Nothobranchius furzeri: one gene and its partners. The protein of the gene in region 1 purifies or fractionates together with the protein of each later gene. This does not show direct contact. Links are inferred from orthologs where the notes say so. Each region holds a gene or a part of one and is shown in the gene's direction. Other genes may lie near its edges. The genes, in order: chaf1b, cbx5 and cbx3a.

The links.
Region 2: the proteins of chaf1b (region 1) and cbx5 purify together in Homo sapiens (affinity purification with mass spectrometry; 8 studies listed by BioGRID and IntAct, with this or other methods). This does not show direct contact. The link is inferred for Nothobranchius furzeri from reciprocal best matches to the Homo sapiens genes CHAF1B and CBX5.
Region 3: the proteins of chaf1b (region 1) and cbx3a purify together in Homo sapiens (affinity purification with mass spectrometry; 3 studies listed by BioGRID and IntAct, with this or other methods). This does not show direct contact. The link is inferred for Nothobranchius furzeri from reciprocal best matches to the Homo sapiens genes CHAF1B and CBX3.

What each region holds. Positions count from the first base shown.
Region 1 is NC_091754.1:23,987,603-23,995,407, forward strand, and holds the start of chaf1b (chromatin assembly factor 1 subunit B), read left to right. Parts: upstream 1-2,587; 5' UTR 2,588-2,696; coding exon 2,697-2,837; intron 2,838-2,946; coding exon 2,947-3,079; intron 3,080-3,170; coding exon 3,171-3,291; intron 3,292-4,914; coding exon 4,915-5,018; intron 5,019-5,093; coding exon 5,094-5,190; intron 5,191-5,270; coding exon 5,271-5,355; intron 5,356-6,110; coding exon 6,111-6,204; intron 6,205-6,304; coding exon 6,305-6,374; intron 6,375-6,446; coding exon 6,447-6,538; intron 6,539-6,623; coding exon 6,624-6,783; intron 6,784-6,876; coding exon 6,877-7,434; intron 7,435-7,805. Other genes in the region: morc3a (MORC family CW-type zinc finger protein 3), read left to right, coding at 1-206, 352-497, 598-754. UniProt on the Homo sapiens protein: Acts as a component of the histone chaperone complex chromatin assembly factor 1 (CAF-1), which assembles histone octamers onto DNA during replication and repair.
Region 2 is NC_091755.1:25,770,722-25,778,623, forward strand, and holds cbx5 (chromobox protein homolog 5), read left to right. Parts: upstream 1-2,900; 5' UTR 2,901-3,038; intron 3,039-3,508; 5' UTR 3,509-3,560; coding exon 3,561-3,688; intron 3,689-3,904; coding exon 3,905-4,145; intron 4,146-5,153; coding exon 5,154-5,254; intron 5,255-5,996; coding exon 5,997-6,138; 3' UTR 6,139-6,609; downstream 6,610-7,902. Other genes in the region: heterogeneous nuclear ribonucleoprotein A1, read right to left, coding at 40-183, 257-400, 475-534, 610-756, 838-1,048, 1,119-1,265, 1,349-1,465, 1,941-1,952. UniProt on the Homo sapiens protein: Component of heterochromatin that recognizes and binds histone H3 tails methylated at 'Lys-9' (H3K9me), leading to epigenetic repression. In contrast, it is excluded from chromatin when 'Tyr-41' of histone H3 is phosphorylated (H3Y41ph).
Region 3 is NC_091751.1:29,400,276-29,407,800, forward strand, and holds cbx3a (chromobox protein homolog 3a), read left to right. Parts: upstream 1-2,790; 5' UTR 2,791-2,939; intron 2,940-2,952; exon of another isoform or gene 2,953-3,270; intron 3,271-3,453; 5' UTR 3,454-3,457; coding exon 3,458-3,600; intron 3,601-3,749; coding exon 3,750-3,906; intron 3,907-4,009; coding exon 4,010-4,104; intron 4,105-4,351; coding exon 4,352-4,478; 3' UTR 4,479-4,839; downstream 4,840-7,525. Other genes in the region: nfe2l3 (nuclear factor erythroid 2-related factor 3), read left to right, coding at 1-331.

The sequences.
Region 1 (7,805 bases):
ACAGAAGTCTCTTTGAGAAGGCCAAGAAGAAGGTTCACGATTTGGTGAAGGACAAAGAGTTTTTATCAAACGCTGCTGACATCAGTACCGGCGCTAATGCTGCTCCAGGTGAAGAACCAGATGTCCAAGAGATTTCTCTGCAGGTTGGCGGTCTAGTTCGTGAACTGGATCAGAGACAAAAGAAGATGGATGAACTTCGCTCCAAGGTTAGGGTCCCAGCTTTGATTGGGGCTGAATTTAGTTATTGAACTACTCTTGAGTGCAGATGTCCTAAATTCTGTTACTGCTTTCTAAAGCTGGTCTGCTTTTCTGCCCTCTTGGGTGTTTTTTTTTCTCTGGCTTCACCAACAGCTGGTCAGTCTGGAGGAGGAAAAGTCGGCTTTAGCGGCCCAGTGTGAAGAGCTCAGGTCAAGTCTGCAGCAAGAACGGGAAACCGCACAATCAGAGGAGGCTGGAGGCTCAGCAGGCTCTGGCTCAACGTCAGAGGACCACGAAAGGTTGGACTGCTGGCAGATCACTTATTTCATGTAGGTTTTAAAGTATGTTTTTTTATTTGTTTAGATTTAAACGTGCCTCTTTATTTCCTCGTTCCTATAGTTTGATCAGGCTTCGAAAGAACGTTGGGCGTCTTCTCGTCTCCTACATCCCAGATCTGGATTTGGAGCAAGTGAATTATGATTGTACCGTCATCGATGAGATCCTGGAGCAGTATGTTAACGATGGTTGTGATGCTGCTATTCCCCTGTTCAGCTGAAGAGAACTTCACAGGTGTTCTGTAGTTTCATAAGAACGTCAGGTCCGTCTGGTTTGAGTTTTCAGCTTGTACTTCAGTCTTAATTTGTGTTTTTGCCTGAGTTCATTTAACTGCAGCAAGTGGATATTTTCAACTAATTGTCAAACCAAAACTTTGATGGCTGACGTGTGTGAAATAATCCATCTTGCAGCCCTAAACTTACACATTTTCAGTTCAAACTGTTGAAATGTTAATTTTGTGTGAAGCTCAGGGAGACTGTTTCTGTTGCATCTGGGATGTTTTACTCTAAGCCGTTTGTGCTATTTTAAAAAAAAACATTATTGTTAAATCACATTTAGTTTGTCATAGTTCTCACACTTGTAGTAATACATTCTATTACTACTTTTATGTTTTCTTATGATTTTCATTAAACATCACATTTTTTATTGTAACATGTACATATATTTATATTATCTGTCAGTTCAGATGGTGCAAACTGAGATTTAGTAACAGGCGATGGTTCAAATTGACATATTTTATACGTACCTAATATAGTGAGTAAAGCAAGGCCTCATGTGAAACTTTCCATCATATTTGAGGGTGAGAGCACACCGATGCTACTGCATAAATATATGTATATGGCCCAACTACTTCTGTTGGAAGTTTCTTTAAAATGTTTACTTGTTTTTTGCAAAAGATTGTTAATAGTTTTAGGGACTTTGTTTTAAACTGTATTAACGAGAGTTCAGACGTTCCCTTGAGTCATGTACCCTTGGCTTGAACAGTATGTGTGTCTGTAACTAATGTAGACATTGTATTTTGTATAAGTGCAGCACATACATTTCTTACTAAAAATGCACTTTTTTTACTAATTAAAGCAAAAATGTGGCTTGAGAAATCTGAAAACTTGGATTGATGTTCTGATTTACATGTGGTCATGTCAATGCTGATAATGAATGTATAATAAAACGTTTACCAATATTTGTCAGTCAAGAGCCAGTATTGGCACAAACCTTTTCAAGTGTTTTATTTGTACTTTTAACTTTTTTATTTACCTTTTAATCCTCTTGAGACTTTCCTCAAGTTTATACCATAATCATAAATAGTGAAAATATTGACTCATGTTTACAAGATGATAGCAAAAACTTTATCACTCAGATCAGAGTTTGCTAACACCTAAAGAAATAATGCAAATGAATAAAAGACATTTTAGCATAAAAGGTTAATTATAAGTGATTGGGGAGAAAACGATAAATCCCAAATTTGCATTAGACATACAAATGTTAAAATTAAATTGTAGTTCATAGCTGTTGTTTGTACATTTGTGTACGTCTACCATAAAGACAAAAAAAGCCGCATGTGACGTTAAAATAGCTGTATTTACCAATAAAGGAAAAATACTAGTTTCAATAATGTTTTAGATAATTTAATAATATAAATGCGTCAATTAAAGTTCGATTTGATGATAATTATATTCATTTTCCTTTTTTTCTTTTTCTTTTTTTTTTTTTTTTGTCTGAGCAAGAGAAGTAGAAACTTGCCTTCAGTCTCCGCCTTTTCCTGTGTTTCGTCCAATCACAGCAGCCCATTTGACCGGAAGTTGTGAACAAAACATACGCGGGAAATTATCATTAGTTGGACACCGGAGTAGGTAAAACACAATTTTTTAGATTATCTCAGTAAAAAGAATACTTAAAATCACACATTTGTCTTTTGAATCCCGTTTGCTCGCTTTTAAATAACTTATTTTACACATGTTTTGGGGTTTTTCCTGTTGTGTTCGCTCCGAACCCGCTAAGTTGTTTGCTAACTGTGCTAAGTAGCCTAGTCTTGCTGAAAACATCCAGCCTTTCATAATATTTAATTTGTACTTGTCCATATTTGCAGTTTGTATAATGTGTTCGCTACTTTCAGCCTGAATAATGACAATAATGTGTCAGCATCTCGTAAATGTAACTTTTATATGAACATAAGGAAAATGAAGGTAGTAACGTGTGAGATAGCATGGCACAACAAGGAGCCGGTTTACAGCCTGGACTTTCAGCACAGCTCTGACGGACGCTTTCATCGCCTCGCCACAGCTGGAGTGGACACCACAGTCAGGGTGAGCAACATCTGTTAATGAGCCACATGCAACCCGGAACTCTCTGGTATAATTTAATAATACATGGTCTCTAGTTATGAAGTTATAATTTATCTTGACTTTGCTGCAGCTGTGGCAGGTGGACACCGGTGCAGATGGAAAAGCAGCAGTAGATTTTCTGTCTAACCTGGCCAGACACACCAAGGCTGTCAACGTGGTCCGCTTTAGCCCCAGTGGAGAGCTGCTTGCTTCAGGAGGAGATGGTATGTCACACGTACACATCATCTTTAGATGCAGGGCAGAAATATTCAAATAAGTACTATTGAGATTTGTTTCTCTTCTCTTTTTAAACAGATGCAGCAATTTTCTTATGGAAACTCAATGAATCTAAAGAGCCTGAGCAAGCTCCAGTCTTCCAAGAGGAGGAAGATGCCCAGCTCAATAAAGAGAGTTGGTCTGTGGTCAAAACACTGAGGTACACAGAACAGAAAGCCACAGTGGTTTGTTAGATTTATTGGAAAGATTTGTAAAAGATCTCAAAACTATTATCAGATTAAATAATGTTGGCAGATAATCATCTAGAGCAGACATCTCCAAAGTGTGACCCTCAAAGTGATCGTGTGGCCCCAGCAGCATCTCCGACTGTCTATTGATGTGTGACTTTAACAATTTTATTTTATTTTTCTTTTAATTAAAATGCATATTTTGTGGAATTTAAATGAATAGAAATCATTTATTTATAATAGAAATCAAATTCATGCCCCTACACGCTCCCTTCGCTCAATCAATCAATCAACTTTATTTATATAGCACTCAATTCTACAATACATGCGCCCAGGGCAGGGAGGGCAGAGACTCCCACCACCACCCAGGCACACATGGAAAGCACCCAGGCCACCACAGCCGACCACCGCCGCCGGGGCAAAGGGTTCCCACAGAGGAAGCACTGGAAAAAGGTTAAATTAAGGTTAAAATATAAAATCCAAAGAGCTAAAATGAGAATTGTAATAAAAAGTTATATACATAGTAAAATATTGTTGATCATAACTCAAGGTAAAAAACTGTTTAAAAGGCACATAAAGAAAATACATTAAATAAAATAAATGGATAAAATAAATAAATTAAGTAATTAATTAATTTAAAAAGTGAGAGTATTCAGTTAAAAGCTAAGCTAAAAAGATGGGTCTTGAGCCTGTTTCTTAAACACATGAACGTTCTCAGCAGCCCTGAGGTCCCCTGGCAGCTCGTTCCAGAGGCGAGGACCGTAGTACTGGAAGGACGCCTTGCCGTGAATGTGTGTCCTAACTTTAGGGATGACAAGGAGACGGCTGCCAGAGGAGCGCAGAGACCGCGTGGGTTCATACGGTAAAAGCAGTTCTGAAAGATAAGAAGGCCCAAGACCATTAAGACACTTAAAAACCGTTAAAAGTATTTTGAAATCGATCCTGAAACATACGGAAACGCTCGGCTGATCAGGATTTGCTCATCGTCCCACGACCAAGGTTCAAAACAAGAGGTGATAGGGCCTTTTTAGTCCTTGCTCCAACACTATGGAATGAGCTCCCACCTGCTATCAAACAGTCCCCATCTCTGCAGGTCTTCAAGAGTCAATTGAAGACTCATTTTTATAGTTTGGCTTTTATATGAAATGGATTTTTAGTCTTTTATCATATCTGTCTTCTATTGTATCTGTCTCATAATTGTAGTCATTTTTAGGCGGTTTTTAATCCGTCTTTTTGTTCTTTTACTGTTTTTATGTTGTGTTCAACGCCTGCCTGTAAAGGCAGTGGAAGGCGCCATGCAATTAAAATTAGATAGATTTAAATCCAAATTAAACAGGTTTTTGCATTTTTTTCTAATAAAAGAAACAAAACTTTTGTGGCTTTTGGGGACTGTTAACCTGGCAATTTTGGCTTTCACCTTGAAAAGTTAGACGTTTGCCAGGGAAAATTGCCTCTTTGGGCTGCTGCCATGTCAATTATTCTAAAATGCAAATTATGTTATTTGTCTGCAAGTTTTTGCCACTTATTCAGAAAATAAATGTATTTGATCTATTTTTAAAGAATAAAGTGAAAGAATTTAATTTTTCTGCTCACAGAGGACACATAGAGGACGTGTATGACATCTGCTGGACAAGAGATGGCAACTTCATGGTTTCTGGTTCTGTTGACAACACTGCCATCATGTGGGACGTTAACAAAGGTTCGCAGCCTTAGTTTGGTGTTTTGGACGTATTTGTTTTCCTTCAGATGTCAAATATCTGCTTTTATTTTTTAGGACAGAAGTTGTGCATCTTTAACGACCATAAGAGCTACGTTCAGGGGGTCACCTGGGATCCTTTGGGTCAATATGTGGCCACTCTCAGTTGTGACCGGTAACTGTTGGTGTTTGAGTCATTCCTTCACAAGTCTGTTGGGTATCGCTGGGTTTACGTAACCTTTTTGTTTTCCTCAGAGCGATGCGCGTGTACAGCACTCACACGAAGAAGAAGGCCTTCTGCGTCAGTAAAATGAGCCCCAGTTCACCTGCAGAAGGAGAGGTCAGTAAAATTCTGGATTTTTACTAAATCTGAGTTCTTTTTCTTTCACATTTGATTTCCCCCCCCCCCCCTCTTGTGCATTAGTTGCAACCTTTTTGCAACTTGACTTGATATTCGTAGCATATTCCATCCTATTCTCATAAACCCAGTAATCTTTATTTCTATTTTTGGGTTTTTCATTTTCAGTTGGATACAGAAAGTTTACTTGTTTTTATAGTTAAAAACTTAAGAAATGTTGTATTCAGAGTTTTGTGAAGATGCTTAAATTTCATGGAAATGCTTGAATTTTAATGTGGTTTAATACAATCAAAACAGGCCTAAAATGCTTGAAGTGTTGATTTGATAATGGATTTATCGTTTATTTTCATTACCAGATAAAAATAATGACATTTAATTTGAACAGGACTGTTTCTGAAATTTACGTTAAAATAATTTCAAAATTTGTTGTTTGTGGGAAGATTTTTATTTTAACTTCATTTTATGGGTATAAAAATGAAAATGACCACTTGTTTTATTATCCTTGTTTTGCTGTTTTACATTTACATCTTGTAAGATAAAGATCTCAAACATTTTTAAACATGTTTAAGTTTAAAGTCTTTTTAGGACAATATGACACAAGAAAAGCTTGAACATTTACCTCAGACTGGTTGAAGGAAGCATAATTTTGACTCTGAGAGGAGATCTAATCCTTAAAACCATCTAAAAAGCTCTCCAGTTTGTAAAAACGTGTTCCTCTTCACCGTGTTTAACTGCAGTCCAAGCAGTACAGGATGTTCCACGATGACAGCATGAGGTCGTTCTTCCGTCGTCTCTCGTTTACACCCGACGGGTCGTTCCTGCTTGCCCCAGGTACAGAGACGGCACGAACCAAAATGAGATTTTATCCTCATGAAAGGATTTTTATAAACTCAGCTTTTGCATCTTTTTATTCTCGCATCTTGAACCCCAGCTGGATGCGTGGAGGTGGGAGAAAACATCATAAACACCACTTACATCTTTTCCAGGAAAAGTCTTAAGAGGTGGGATCTACAGCTCTTTCTGGTGTTTACTGACCGTTAACATCTGTAAAACTGTCTCTTTGTGTGTGTCAGACCTATCGCTCACCTGCCGTGTCCGTCTAAAGCCACGTTGGCTGTGCGCTGCTGCCCGCTCTACTTTGAACTCAGAACTAAAAGGGGAGACGGTGAGGACAAACTGGCGCTGATTGTCTCGACTATCTGGAATTATTATGTTTATCTTCAATTTTTTTTACTCTTTTTCTGCTTCAGACGGTTCGACCCAGGCTCTTCCCAACTTGTTCCAGCTGCCGTACCGTATGGTGTTTGCCGTGGCCTCGGAGGACTCCATATTTCTGTATGACACACAGCAGAGCCTTCCGTTTGGGCTGGTGTCCAACATCCACTACCACACACTCAGCGACCTGACATGGTAAACCTAAAACACCCGTTGGCCTTCATTAGGTGTGTTTAAGCTCCTATGAACCGGGCAGCCTCTTTAGTCTAGTGCTGTGTTTGTGTTCAGGTCTCGGGATGGTTCCTTCCTGGCCGTCTCCTCCACAGACGGTTACTGCTCCTTCCTGTCCTTCTCTCCAGGGGAGTTGGGCACTCCACTGAAGGAGCCCCCCACCTTGGAGGTCTTTGTCCCAAGCAGTGGTTCTGAAAAGAAAGGAAAGAAGGCATCAGGGGCTAAAAACTCCTCTCCTGTGTCCCAGACACTGAGCTCGACCCCAAATCCCACATGTCAAACCAGCTGTGGCAAGGACACCCCCTGCCACACCCCACCAGACGAAAAGAAGAGCACACCTAAAATCAAACCCAAACCCCAGCCCCGTCGGATCACCCTCAACACCCTGGAGGGTTGGGGGAAACCCAGTTCTCCTAAAACTCCCTCCTCGACTCAAACCCGAGACTCCGGTAGCGCACCCTCGACTCCCCCACCTCGCTCGGTTCCGCTCACCCCCACCAACTCCTCCTCAAAGCAGCCTCGTGTTGTTCCCCTCACTCCGTCCACACCAAATGTTAATACTGCTGGGTCCACCACCCCCAAGGCTGCAACCACCCCAAAAGGACCCACCTCAAGGTAAATACAAGCAGAAAACAATAGCGTGTTTGAACAAATTTGTCTTTGCAAAACTAAAATATCCCGCTCCATTTTCACAGCAAGGAAGTAAGGTTTCACTAAAGCTGAAAATATCCTGTAATTAAAACTAGAAGAGAACAGAGCTCGGCCCACGATCTGACCCCTGATGGGAACTGTTGCACAATCTAGGAGCCAAAAAATGCAGTCTTGGTCACCACATGTGATCAGGTCACTCATTTGTCCTGGAGATCAGTTGAGTAATCTTAAATAAATAAAAGCACTTAGAGTAAAAATCCTATTGATGATAAAACGGCTCAGGGGAACCAGGTCAAGAGTATCTAACAGTCATTGATTTTCTAATAACATTCATC
Region 2 (7,902 bases), on another chromosome or scaffold:
GACAAGCGAGTAGCAACCATATTGATCTCAAATACTCACCTCCACCAAAGTTCCTGCCGCCGCCGCCACCACCGCCGCCACCGAAGTTATTCTTCATCGGCCCAAAGTTAGAGGCCTGGGGGTCGTAGTGGCCCATGTTGTTGTAGTTGTTACCACCTCCACCCCCGCCGCCACCACAATTACCTTAAAGGTTATTTTCTGTTATATTGTGATGCTGGGCAGAAATAAACATGGTTTTTACCAAGAGAATTCTTACCGTAACCATTGTTGTCATAACCATTTCCTCCATATCCACCGCCACCGCCTCCTCCTCCACCACCTTGGTTGTAGCCACCCTGATTATAACCACGGTTTCCACCTTGGTTGTAGCCTCCAGGACTGCCAGGACCACCGCCATAACCTGAAATATAAAAAAACATTAGTACTCTAACAAATCATTCAAAACCCACTTTAAATAACTAAAAAGGTGTATACCTCCTCCATCACCCCCATTGCAATTGTACGGACCATCGCCATATCGACCACCCCTGCCACCTTATGAGGGGAAATCAGGATTTAAAAACTCACCCTATTACACTACAGGTGTTGGTGTTCACCATCACACCCTACCTTGGTTGAAGCCTCTGTCGTAATCATATGGCCTTCCCCCGGTGTTACGGCCTCCTCTCGATCCCATGCCCACACTTTGCATTTCCTGCTTGGTGAGGGCCTTCCTCACTTCACAGTTGTGCGAGTTGATTGTGTGGTATTTCTGGACTGTTAATTGGGAGGGACGGCAACATTTTAACCACACATAGCACTGCAGGTGAAAGCTTGCAAGATAAACATTTTACTTACTGACAATCCTGTCAACTGAATCATGGTCATCAAAGCTGACAAAGGCGAAGCCTCTCTTCTTTCCAGTGTTACGGTCAGTCATGATGTCAATGACCTCAATTTTGCCAAACTGCTGGAAGTAATCCCTCAAATGAGATTCTTCTGTGTCTTCTTTTATGCCTCCAACAAAGATTTTCTTCACAGTTATGTGAGCGCCTGGGCGGTTGGAGTCCTGCAAACAACAAGAGCGCTTAATCCCATTCGTGCATCATAAATCAATCTGGATAAGCTGGCTCACATACCTCTCTGGAAACAGCTCGCTTAGGCTCCACCACTCTTCCATCCACCTTGTGTGGACGAGCGGACATGGAGGCATCGACCTCCTGCACTGACGAGTAGGTGACGAAGCCAAACCCCCTGGATCTCTTGCTGTTTGGGTCTCTCATAACCTAAAGGCAGAAACGCATCACAGCTTTAAGCAACCAACCAAACGTTACATTACATTTAAAAAGAGACATAAAGGTATGCGTACCACGCAATCTGTAAGGCTGCCCCATTGTTCAAAATGAGCCCGTAGGCTCTCGTCTGTTGTCTCGAAGCTCAGGCCTCCGATGAACAGCTTGCGGAGCTGCTCCGGCTCACGTGGAACCTGCACAAAAATATTTGCGTCATAGGAGAAGCAATGCACAATATAGTTCCGCATAATAATATTGTCGGTGGACCATTTATATCAAACTCTGCGTCTTTGATCAAAAATCAGGGATAGGGTGGAGAAGGCGCACCGCCGCCATTACAGTTTAGGAACCGCTCAGACTAAAGTCAAAGAACTCCTTCTTTCAAAGAGCCAACACACAATTAATATGTACTCACTGTCGTTTAATGTGTTAGGGATATAATCGTTTAAGACTGGTGTTGAAGAGAAGCCACTGATGTCCTTTACAGATCATCATCAGAACAAAAGGCCACGAGGCTCAGCTTCTATAAAATGGCGGCTTCAAGAAAGCTCTGCAGCTACGGCACACAGTCCGTCGACAACACCAAGTATGGCCAACCTATAATAAAACTACCCAAAACCAAACTATTAATCTTACGGCCTGATATCCTTTGATAAGTTTAGCACTCACCTCTTTAGACATTTTGCCGCTTTATCCTTGACGACTCCTTGAGAACCGACCGCAGAGGAACTAGCTGCGTCAGACAAGACCAGCGACAGGGTGAACGTACAAGAAATAGGAACGGAAACGCCTCTTCCCCTCAGCGATTGGTCTGTAGTTCCCGCGGTACTGTGTCGTCAATCAGAACTGTATTTTGATTGGTCTAAATTTTGTCAATCAATGCGAACAACCATTCACTGCGTAGTAGGCATTCGCCTTTGTCGACCATGAAGAAAAATGGCCGACCTAAATTACATAAAGCCAAAAATGAATGTGCCTTCATCTATAAACAAATTATCTGAATTGACAGAGAAATTGAATGCTCACATTTAAAAGGTGCTGAAAAAACGACTTATTAACTTTTTTCTACGAAACGAGCCTAAGAAAGACAATAAACAATATAAAAGATAGACAAATTGCCGTCTGGCTAAACAACACGGGAAATATCATTCGCATGTTGGTACACAAGATGTCCCGTAATCAAACAAACCGATGCAAAATGTACAACTCTTGAAGAGTTTATGCTAAAGTATAATTTAAAATGAGCCAAATTAGTTAATCTGGGCTTTGTGTGTGGTGACTAAAGGGGGAAAATAACATGAACATAGAGAAATAAATAAATGCAGCAAGATTTAAACGAAAAATATATGAAAACATAAATTACTACAACAAAGTAGACGTATATATATTAATTTCTTTATTTTCAGTCAAATAATTGTAACCCTTTATGCTGTGTTTTTTTTTATTTTGTATTATCGTGTATACTTATTTTGTAAATTATTGTGACTGCAAGTTACTACAATTTTATAAACCGAACGTTAACGTTATAGAAAAGTTAAAATTTAGTAGGAAGGAACGTGTTTTCTAAACATTTATTATGTCACCAGCAGACTGGGGGCGGGTATGTTCATTGTGCGTTTTTAACGCGCGCTTTTTGCGCACGGCACCTTTATGTGCTACAGGCTAGATGCTAACGCTGGTGCTGCATTAGCTGCACTGCTGCCTCTAGATAAACGGAGCAGTCCCTGCGACCAGCGGCCTACATCCAGTGGGTTATACACTCCGAGGGTAAGAAACTGCGTTTTTGTAAATGTGCTTTACGCTGTTGCAAGTATCGGGTAGTTGTTTGATAAGTAAATTAGCGAGTATAGCATAGCTTTAGCACGTAAGCTAGCTCCTTTGGCTAGTTTGGGGTTAGTTAGCAGGACAAATCCCTTGGTCTTCATTGAACTGTGTGCTTTGTTCGTTTTCTGTGAGTGCAGTCTGGTCGCATATAACTATTTCAAACGGGCATATGTCGAGAAATGCACATGTATGGCCATTATATTAGCAGTTTTCCCATGCTTATCGTTCTGCTAGTGGGAAGAACGAGATTAAATGAAGATATTCATTGATGCACGGTAACCACGTTGTGTGGCTAACGCTCATGGTTGCAAACCTGCAGCTTGAGCTTAAATTTATGTGTTTACATGTGGACGAGCGCTGAGAAAAAATGGCATGTTTTGTGAGATGCTTGTTTGTGATTTCGTCGTGAACAGGAAAGTGCCATCGAACTCTAAAAGAGTGTAGTGTGAAGCACCCAACTCCGAGATGGGCAAAAAGTCACGTGAAGAGGAGTCCTCATCTGATGAAGAAGAGTATGTTGTGGAGAAGGTGCTGGACAGGAGGGTGGTGAAAGGCAGGGTGGAGTTCTTCCTTAAGTGGAAAGGATACTCTGAGTAAGTACCAAGTACCTGTTTACTGGTCAGTGACTTGATATTCCCGTTTTACACACACACACACACACACACACACACACACACACACACACACACACACACACACACACACACACACAGCACAAAAAGCATCAGTGAAGCTGGTTTGAGCACACAATATTACCCTTTTAAAAATGAACGTGACATTTCAATGACTTGTGCTGTGATTTTCTGCAGCAAGCACAACACATGGGAGCCAGAGAAGAATCTAGACTGCCCTGAGCTTATTTCAGAGTTCATGAAGACCTATAAGAAAAGCAGCAGCAGCGGTGGTAGTTCGACACCTAGCAGCGGGGCCAGTAAATCAAGCACAGGCTCATCTGGACGCACTAAAGATCCCAGCAGCTTAAAAAAGAAGGGCTCTGATGAAGAGGAGGAAGAAGAGGAAGGAGGAAGTAAGCCAAAGAAGAAGAAAGAGGTAAATTATCTTCATTATAGGTGAATTTCATTGACTACGTTTACATGCAGCCAATATCCGGGTTATGATCGGGTTAAGGTCGGTATTCGGGTTTCTGAGTTGATCAGAATAACCCGTTTACAAGCCCGTTTACAATAAATAGAAAGAGTTACCCCTAACTTGCATAACCCGATTTAAATGCGGACGGTGGGGTAGCGTCAAGACATATGGACTACGTCCAGACGCAATATGCCTCATTTCCGGTTCTTCTTGTTCCGGTATCCGTGAAAACAACAACACGTTTCCCAGTTCGGAAGAGACGGCGACCGCGTTTGTTTGTGCTTTAGTTTCTTCGTCACTGCGAAAGTGTGGTGCTGTGCCGCGACTCGCCATGTTGCTCCCAACTTGTTGTTTACTTCCGGTGTTCTGGCGCATACAAGACGTCTCGCTACTCAAAAGACCAAGATTCCTTGCGAACAGAGCATGTGCAGAACACACGCTTTGATGGGGATATCCCGGTATGCGTTTACACGACCAAACATTCGGGTTAGAAAAGGGTTACGCCAGGTGTAGTAACCGGGTTTTTAAAAACCCGGTTATGAGCATATCCAGGTTTTTGGCGGTGTTTACAAGGACCTGCGGAACCGGGTTATTGTGAATATTCGGGTTTTAAAAGGGTTACTGGCTGCATGTAAACGCACTCATTCTGATATGAATCATTTGTATGCGTGGGAGCATTTGTACTTAGCTCTTCTGAACTGATTTCTGTAAAGACTGTTTATATTTTAGCTAAATGTTGTAAAATGTATAATTTTGAGATGAAAATGATAAATTGTTTTTTTGAATTACCAATAATGCATTAACTTATGGGCAGGTGATGGGCAACACCTATACTTATTAAATAATATAAGTTATATCTAGATTTGACCTGTGTTTAGAATTGCTGAATTTATGGCCAATGAAATAGCCCTTTGGCAAATATTCAGCTGGCATTTTTAATTTTTTATTTTTTATTTTTTTACATTTCAGGATGAGATCCTAGTTGCACGTGGCTTTGAGAGGGGCCTAGAGCCAGAGAAGATCATTGGGGCAACCGACTCGTGTGGAGACCTCATGTTTCTAATGAAGTGGTAAGTTTTACTGGTAGACTCATTTTGGGAGATCTTCATTCTGTTATAATGACAATGCACTTACTTTTATGCACTTTGGTAATCATAATGCACCCATTTCGTAGTAAAACAAAATTTTCCTCAGACATAAACATTAGAAGCTAACCTAGCACAGGGGGGACTAACAGGCCTTTGTAGAGCTTGGTGACCTGCTGAACAGGTAATTCAACCATTCAGGTGTATTGCAGCAGTGAGATGACTAAAACATGCTGGGTATGGGGATCTCAGACACACTTGATCTAAGAGGACTACTATTCATTCTCGTATGACAAAGAAATATGCTTAAGTATTATAAAGTACTTACATTTTCAACTATTAAATGTCTAAAACAGAACTGGTTAAACGGTGCAGAATTGTTGCACCAGAGCACAGCACGATGTCCTATCATGAGCTTAAATGTCTAACAACCTGAATCTTTAACACCACATTACTACTGGCAAATCATTCATTAGCTAATCGCTGTTCCGTCATAAACAGTAAGCCACATCATAAAACTTTATGCTATTGCATATTAGCTAAATTTATACATGCAGTAAATTGTCCCTAAGCAGAAGTGATGGTTGTAGATTTTGGAAATTTTGTTTTGAAATGGGAAATTTGGTTGAAATAATTTGGAAAAGTGAAGGACAATAAGGACAAACTAACAATCCCTAACAATGCGTGGATTCCTTAAGTTCTCTTGCTGTTCTGGTTTCTCGTACAGGAAAGACTCTGATGAGGCAGATCTTGTTCTCGCCAAGGAGGCCAATCATAAGTGCCCACAAATCGTCATAGCCTTCTACGAGGAGCGTCTCACCTGGCACGAAGACGGCGACAAGAAGGAGAAGGATGCTGTTAGCGCGTGAGTGTATCACCTCGGGAGGAATCCTCCACTGCAGGGACTACCTTAAGTCAGACATTTTTTTCCTCCATATCCAAAACTTTCATGTACCACGTCCAAAGGCAACACAATGACAGGCGATGCATCTTTCTCTTGTCCTCCCCTCCTTCCTCCATCCACGTCCCACTGGAGCACAATGACCCGGGCTGCTGAGAGGGGGCCGTCGGGCTGGAGGAGAAGATGTAGTGGGTGTGGGTGAAATGCTACTTGGGGAACTTTCTACTGTATTGTCTTTGTATTCATTACCTTTTTTTAATATCGATGTATGTTTTAGTGCTTACAGGATGTGATTCTATCAGTGAGGAGTGCAGTGTTATGATCAGGTGGGATTGAGTTGGAGTATTGACATTATGGAAGTAACCATCTCTGCACTTTCCTGTCTGTTTAATCATGTCCTTTTTAAACTTTTTATCTTTGTAGATTTTTTTTTTTTTTTTACCAAAATACAACGTTTAAATTTGAACAATCTTTGCTTGGTGATTCGCTTGCTAGAATTTTTTTATTTGCCGTTTTATTTTGTTGCTGCCTAGTGGTAACAAAGTAAAACCGCATAGACCGTGACCAAAACAGATGACAGCCTCTGAGGTGTGTGTGTGTGTGTTTGTGTTAATCAACTTAAGTATTTTTTTAGACATTTTTATTTCTCTAAAATCCTCCCTACACAAAAAAAAAAAACAACAACATTTTACCCTTTTCAAATGTGAGATAGCGGTCAATTTCAATAACTTTTTAGTTTTGTTTTTCTGGGTAATTTTAACATTTTGGACCAAATAGTTGGTGTATTCAGATGTTTTTCCTGGTTTAGTAAAACCTTAGTGACTTGCTCCTTTTTTATACATTTTATTCATATGACCAGTTTTTAATGTTAATTTGCCAAGTCGGTTGGGTTCTTCCATTAAAATGGTTTTGTCCTAACTTTTTACCCAAGCAGAATTTCCAGATTGTTGAGCGGTTTTCTTGTGTCAAAATAAATGTTACAAACATGTGTACTGTATCACCCTTTAATAAACATTTTCAATGGTAAAGTGTATTATTTGTATTTTATTGGAGAAAATAAGATGCATATTTTTCTCCAGATTTAACTTTCTGCCTCAAATGGTCAGAAAACTAGATACATGCTATAGAAGAAATTATTTTATTATAATTGCTTTTTTTTTTTTTTTTGCAAAGGAAATCATAAATTGCAGATAGTGAGACAGAGTTGCATTATCTGTCTTCTGTTTATTGGGAAGAAAATTGTTTCTTTTGCACCAGTTGCTGTTGCCCAGCAGATGGTGGTGTTGGTTAATATCGTTTTACAGTAGACTATCAGCTTTGTGGGAAGTAGTCCATGTTCAAACACCTTTTGCTGTTTTTACTAATGTTCATCTTTTCTTTTATGCGCCAACATCTGTTGGACCCACACATTTCATTCTAAAAACCTGGAGAAGTATGCATTGTTAAATTTTATTAAAGAGAAGTGCATTTATTTATATAGAAGCGTCCTAAATGCAAGGGAAAAGGCAGAATAAGTGATGCTTGGATGTGACCTATATGACTCATGGATCAGATATGGTAACCAAGATAACTGAGGCAAGATCTGTAAACTACTGGCCACTGTTGATAGGGTGCTGATCTCCAGCAGTCTACGGGCGGGGTGCACCCTGGACAGAGTGCTAATTCAGTGCAGGGCAACACAAAGACACACAACATGCATGCACGCACTCACACCTAAGGACAATTTAGACAG
Region 3 (7,525 bases), on another chromosome or scaffold:
GGCAGCTCAGAACTGCCGCAAAAGGAAATTAGATGCCATCACCGGTCTTCAGGAGGAGGTGGACATGTTGCAGGCTCGGAGGGAACGACTGCTGAGAGAGAAACAGCTTACAGCTAAGACCATGGGGGCTGTGGGCCAACAGATAAAGCAGTTGACCAGAGATGTTCTGGCTCGGCTCAGGGATGGGTCAGGACAGCCCCTGAGCCCAGACAGATTTACCCTGCAGTGTGGCGCTAACGGGAGGTTTGTGGTTCAGCCCATCAGACGTCCAGCCGTCTCCACATCAGCAGGCAACAAAACAAACAAGAGGAAAAAAGGGAAGAAGCAGTGATGTTTCGTTTCCTGCTGAGACTTGAGCTTTTAGAGGCTTTTTTTGATATTCCCGAACTTGACTGACTCTGGGTTTGGGGTTCTTTTTTTGTAGGTGGTGTGTGTGTGTGTGTGTGTGTGTGTGCGTGCGTGCGTGCGTGCGTGCGTGTGTGTGCGTGCGTGCGTGTGTGTGTGTGCGTGCGTGCGTGCGTGTGTGTGTGCGTGCGTGTTTATTCACCACTGCCATAAGCCTTCACTATCAGAAGCTGCAAAAACAAAACAACACTCTGAACACAAATGAATAATTCGATAGAATATCTGTAAATATTGAGACATTAGTAGTGGGCACACTGGACTTTGTGTTTATTAAAGCTGGCAGCAGAACCAGCCCCTCTCTGGGCCGGGCCTGATAACGTAAAACTATCACCTTTACTGGGTATGGGTCCGAGGGGTTTTGTGTGTAAATTTGCCTTTTTAAGTCTTTTGAGGAGAACTAGGAAGTTGAAGATTATATTTATTCTGGTTTGAAAGGTTTTTGAAGTGTTTTCATTTTGACGAAGACTGTTTCCTTCTCTTTTTTTTTCAAAATGGAAAAGTAAAATTTAAGTAAATCTAATGTTTACAGGGGCGTTTAAGGTAACTGTGTGTAATGTTATTTATTTAGGCTAAAACTGGAAAAAATAATAAAGATTTGTCTTTCTCATAGTTGCCAGGGGTGACATGCCAAATACCAATGATTACAATGAAGAGGCTTTATTTTGTAACGTTGTATTTGGTTCGAAAATAATCCACACACGAATGCTTTAAGACACTATTGATGCAGATTTTAATAACAAATAGATGGTTTTGACTTAAATCCTTCATAGTTCGAGTTTCAGCATGCTATGCTCAGAAATCAGTTTTTGATGATGTTCAGCTAAAAATGAACCAAAGCGGTGGTCCCAGCTTTGTTGAATGTTGTTTTATATGCAGCGTGCTTCTGTAAGGTTTGCTGAGTTAAATAGAACAATTCTAAAACGGTCTCACGCAACTTCTTTTGTTTGATTTCCAGTTTACAGGGATGACTTTCTGTGATTTTTGGCTCCAGTTTCATCTAAAATGGATTTTCTTTCTCAGTGAGATTGTGTGAGGTATTCTAATCAGTTTTTTTCTTGTTTATAATTGTTTTATAATCTCTTTACTCCTAAAATACACCCAAAATGATACATAAGGTTGTATCTATGTTACAAAGACCCATTCTGGAAAACATAATTTCTCACTTTTCCCATAAAGATGCTTCTAAATGGCACAAAAAGGCAAACTTTACTCATCTGCTGACCCTTTTGTGCTTTACTTAAGTCAGCTGATCTGACATGAATCCCCTCACATCTACTAAAGCACAACCTCACCTAAAAATAACTTTAGAACAGAAGAAATCCCCTGTCATGCAAAATATGTTATCCACTCGCTACACAAACAAGAATGATTGTTGTCTGTTTATATGTTTGGGATTATTAGAGAATGCAATATGACAGGCTGAGTGTTTGATTACACTAGGGCAGGGGTGTCCAATCCTGGTCCTCGAGGGCCGTTATCCAGCACGTTTTTCGTTTTAACCTGCTTCAGCACACCTGATTTCAATCAGCAGGTGATTAACAGGCTTCTGCAGAGCCTGATGAGCTGCTGCACAGGTGATTCAACCAGCTAATCAAGCATTTTGAAGCAGAAAAACCACAAAACCTGCTGGTTACTGGCTCTCCAGGACCAGGATTGGACTCCCCTGCACTAGGGAGTGTATAAACTTAATTGTGATCCAAAGATCATGTTTTCTCTTTGTCCTGGTTTAAACGTTTATTTGTGTGCATTTCACTTTCATACATCTTGTTTTTTCATGCATGAGTCACATTTGTCTGTCTGTTTGCGGTGATTATTGAAAAGATAAATCTGATTGAAGAATACTTGATTTCTTTATTAAAAACATTTAAATAATGTCTTGTTTTGTCTGGCTAACAGGTTATATATACCATTACTGTTATGGTGCTGCGTGCTGGTGAGCATATCAACATTATTTTCCTCACCTGAGCTGAACACCTGTGTTGACCGGCATCATTTCAGGACAGAAGGCAGACAGATTTATTAAAATATGGCTGTAAAGCATATTTAACAAATACTCGTTCAAAATCACAAGCCAGTCATTTACGGTATTCAGTAGAAAGTAAAAGAAATTGTTTCACTCAGTCTGAGAACAATCTAAACAACTTGAGACATCAGGTGCTCAATTTAATCTGAATTCAGCATTAGCATTATGACTTTGGGGTCAATTTGTTAAATTTTTCATTTTTGAACAATCTGAAAAAGAAAATGATTGCTAGTGTTTATGCTTTATTCCTTCCACTACTTTATAGTTTAAAACATATATAAACGTTTTCATTTACTACCAACGTGTCTCAGATTGCGTTAACTAGCGGCTTGAAGCCTTGGTTCATGAAAAGGGCCCTTCTGGAACACATGGGTCAGCTCGGCTGCAGACGAATCGCTTTTCCTTCTGGGCTTCCGTAGCCACAACTAGTTTTTGGCGCCGCCTTCGTTGTGGGATCGACTTCATCCGAGCGGCGTGGTGCTGAACAACTATAGAAATCCGCGCGCTTTGGGTGAGTGTGCGGAGTTCTTCTCTTTTAAAACAATGTTGAGTATTTCTTTAATTACATCAGGCTACTCTGAGCGTGTTAAAACGCCACCTATACGTTGCTGGTTTTTTGACAAACAGCAGTTTAGTTGTTGACCCAGCAGCGTTAGCATCGCCATTGTTTAGCTATTACTGTAATATGTTAAGCTAGCTGAAAGTAAGGCAAGTAAGGTGTTGTTTTGTGGGGATGTGTTGTAGTTTTACCACAGTTTTTATTTTATCTTTTACAATTCTACTAATTCTGTTGCTCAAATAAAATCCGCAGATGAGACTGTTTAAAATCAAGGAAATTTTAGGTAAGGGGTCAGCGTGTTAGCAACCTTTGTTACGTTTAGCTGCTAAATGCTGAGCTAACTAGCAGGTGGGCCAAATTAGAGTAATGTCCTATGTTAGCGTTGGCTGAGTTATTTGTAGCCTAGCATCCGGGTGGATTTAAGGCCTTCCGAATAAATGCGGCTCGTCTTTTTATCTTTAAAAAGCAAAATGGGCAAGAAACAGAATACAAAGCCTAAGAAGGAGACCGAGACCCAGGAGGAGCCTGAAGAATTTGTTGTGGAGAAAGTGTTGGACCAGCGGATCGTCAACGGGAAAGTAGAGTTCTACCTGAAGTGGAAAGGCTTCACAGAGTGAGTTACCCGGGACAATGTCCTGCTCTCTCCGCCTCTAACGCACCGTGGCTGCATGAAGCCTCCCAGCTTTTCCCTTTTAACACGTTTGGGATGTTTTTGGTTTGAACGCTAACCTGTTTTTTTTTTTTTTTTTTTTGCTCCCTCAGAGCGGACAACACCTGGGAACCCGAGGATAACCTGGACTGCCCCGAGCTCATTCAGGCCTTTCTGGATTCCCAGAAGAATATAAAGGAGAAGCCGGCTGCAGTGAAGAGGAAGGCCTCCACAGATGATGCAGAAGAGGAACCCAAGAAGAAAGATGTGGTTAGATTATACGTTTTTTATGTCTCTGACCTGCTAGCATGATTCCCTGTAGGTTGTGCAATCAGAATATGGTTTATAACCTGTTTTTGTTTTTATTTGACAGCCTGATAAGCCTCGCGGCTTTGCCAGGAACCTGGAGCCAGAGCGAATCATTGGTGCCACAGACAGCAGCGGGGAGCTGATGTTCTTGATGAAGTGGTGAGTTAGGCAGACTTTACACCCAATTTCAACAAGAGTAGTTTCACATTTACCTCGGTTGCTTTGCATGGCCATTAGTGTTTTTTTAGGGAGTCGAACTAAAAGCGGAAAAGGTTTATTACAAACATGTAGAGTATTTAGAAATAAAATCACTTGAATATATATAATTTATTTCTTTGATTTTTAAATAGGCTTTTCTAAGATCTGCTGTTTTATTTTAGTTTTTATTTATTTTTTTGTCCCCCAGGAAAGAGTCAGATGAAGCAGACTTGGTCCCTGCTCGTGAGGCCAACACGCGCTGCCCTCAGGTGGTCATATCCTTCTATGAGGAGCGGCTGACGTGGCATTCCTGTCCAGAGGATGAGGCTCAGTAGCCTTTGCCTGGATTCTGCACACCTTTATGTTTTAGGTTTTTATTGTGTTCTCTGTTCTGCTTTTTTTTTTCTTCTTTAGCTACTTTAGCTGATTTGAGACAAAATCATTTGTATGGCAGTTGGGGTATTGTAGATTAAAAGTTTGTCAAAGCAGGTGACTGGGTTGGATATAAGATTAGTCAAAAAGCGATAATGTCAGTCCACATTCCAATTTGTTTATTTTTTTTACTTGAGTCTATGTCAACCTTTTTGAGTTCAGTTAAATGTTTTGTTCCTTGATGCAAGTGCCGACGTGTTTGAAATGAACGCTTTGTTTACAGTTTGTAAATATAAAGTTCAAATAAAGGTTTTATGTGGCCTAGTTTTACCCTCTTCATTTGTAGTTTAGGACAAATGCATACAGAAAAAAGAAAACCTAAATGTTGCTTTATTAAAAGTGTCACAGCCAGCTGAGTGGTTCTGTCAGGGTATCAATCCTTGGCCTACATCAGAATGTTATTTTGGCAGCAGCATTCTGATCTCCTTAGAGGAACAGTGGTGAGATATTTATCCAAGGAGGACCATGAATGTCCACACCTGTCTGGAGCTCTATCAGCTGCTCATTCTGTTCTGCACTTGGTGTAAATGAGGCTTCAGTCTGCTGGTTCTCAGTAATGGATAATGGTTGGTTTCTTCTATAACCACTTGTAAAGACACATTATGGAGTTTATTTTAAAAGTAACTGGTCACATGTTAACAGCTATTTGCCTGTCGGAGATGTTAAACTTCCAAAAAAGCCTGGAACAGCTGGCAGGAAGTGTTGATGAATGGAAACATTTAAAGGAGACTAAAATCAGTCCAACCATAGTTTTACCTGTCATTTGATCATTGCATCTCACCTAATGATGCTCACACTAAAAAGGTAGAGATCGAAGACTTGGCTTTATCACCTGTAGTAGACTCATGGATGGTGACGTAACCTAAAACTTCATATTTATGTCCAACCGTGTGGTGATTGGTAATTCAAATCTGAATTCAGGTGTCTATATTGGTGGTTTTTATTGAACGAATGGGGGATAAAGTTGCATTGACGTTTCTGACTAAACAACATCCAGTTTCACCCCTCTGGCCTTTACCTACTGATAAAGTAACACAAGATAGGAGACGTCAGCGTAAAGGAGCAGTTATTAGCTGATTTACTTAAAATCTCATCACACCACTTGTGTTCAGATGGGCTCCTGGGCTGGACAGAAATAAACTTTGCTTAGGTAAGATGACTTTCACTTGTTTGTATCTGGGGTCCAGGCTGCAGCATGTTGTTTACAGGAATTTATCATTAATGGCTGACGTCTTGTACAAGCTGAGATCAGAAAATTAAAGTTTCTTTGATTTGACTAACAACAAAAACTTCTGTGTTAAAATGATCAATATTTTCTGTGCTGACGCTGGATGTAAAGATCCCCTTTTAACTAGTGTTCTCTATAAGATTCCACATAAACCCTCATGCTTGGCTCAGGATAAGATAAGAACAACTTTATTTATCCCGAGGGAAATTCTTGTGTCATGTACATGCTCAAAGCAGTCGGAGACAAAGGAACAGGTGAAACAGAAATATGATATACAATATATACATTAAAAAAATGATCTACAGTAGTACCATGTAGGATAGTGCAAAACAAACAATCGCATATCTCAATTAAATACATGACTGCATCCTTGTGAATAAGCAATTAAGCCGTTGGTGCAGGCGATTCACAAAAGTGATTATTGTGATCCTCCCATAAAACAACTTTATTAATTACCATTTTAAATTCTAATGAGGTTGTGTGTGTGTGTGTGTGTGTATATATATATATATACATACATATATCATCATTGTCGTCTTCCTCCGCTCATCCGGGTCGCGGGGACAGCATCCCAACTAGGGAGTTCCAGACTGTCCTCTCCCCAGCCACCTCCACCAGCTCCTCCGGCAGGACCCCAAGGCGTTCCCGGACCAGATTGGAGATGTAACCTCTCCAACGTGTCCTGGGTCAACCCGGGGGCCTCCTGCCGGCAGGACATGCCCGAAACACCTCCCCAGGGAGGCGTCCAGGAGGCATCCTGACCAGATGCCCAAACCACCTCAACTGACTCCTTTCGATCCGGAGGAGCAGCGGTTCTACTCCGAGTCCCTCCCAAATGTCCGAGCTCCTCACCCTATCTCTAAGGCTGAGCCCGGCCACCCTACAGAGGAAACTCATTTCGGCCGCTTGTATCCGCGATCTCGTTCTTTCGGTCATTACCCAAAGCTCATGACCATAGATGAGGACTGGGACGTAGATCAACCGGTAAATCGAGAGACTGGCTTTCTGGCTCAGCTCCCTCTTCACCATGACAAACCGGCTCAGCGTCCGCATCACTGCAGACGCCGAACCAATCCGCCTGTTGATCTCCAAATCCCTCCTACCCTCACTCGTGAATAAGACCCCGAGATTCTTAAACTCCTCCACTTGAGGTAGAACCTCTCCCGACCCGGAGTTGGCAAGCCACCCTTTCCCGGTCGAGAACCAGGTCTCAGATTTGGAGGTGCTGATCCTCATCCCAGCCGCTTCACACTCAGCCGCGAACCTACCCAGCAAGAGCTGAAGGTCAGAGCTGGATGAAGCTAGGAGGACCACATCATCCGCAAAAAGCAGAGACGAGATTCTCCTGCCACCAAGCTCGACACACTCCACACCACGGCTGCGCCTAGAAATTCTGTCCATAAAGGTAATGAACAGAACCGTTAACAAAGGGCAGCCCTGGCGGAGTCCAACCCTCACCGGGAACAGGTCTGACTTACTACCGGCTATGCGGACCAAACTCACGCTCCTCTGGTAAAGGGACTGAATGGCCCTTAACAACAGGCCACCCACCCCATACTCCTGGAGCGTCCCCCACTGGGTGCCTCTGGGGACACGGTCATAAGCCTTCTCCAAATCCACAAAACACATGTGGATTGGTTGGGCAAACTCCCGTGCCCCCTCCATCACCCTTGCAAGGGTATAGAGCTGGTCCACAGTTCCACGGCCAGGACGAAAACCAAA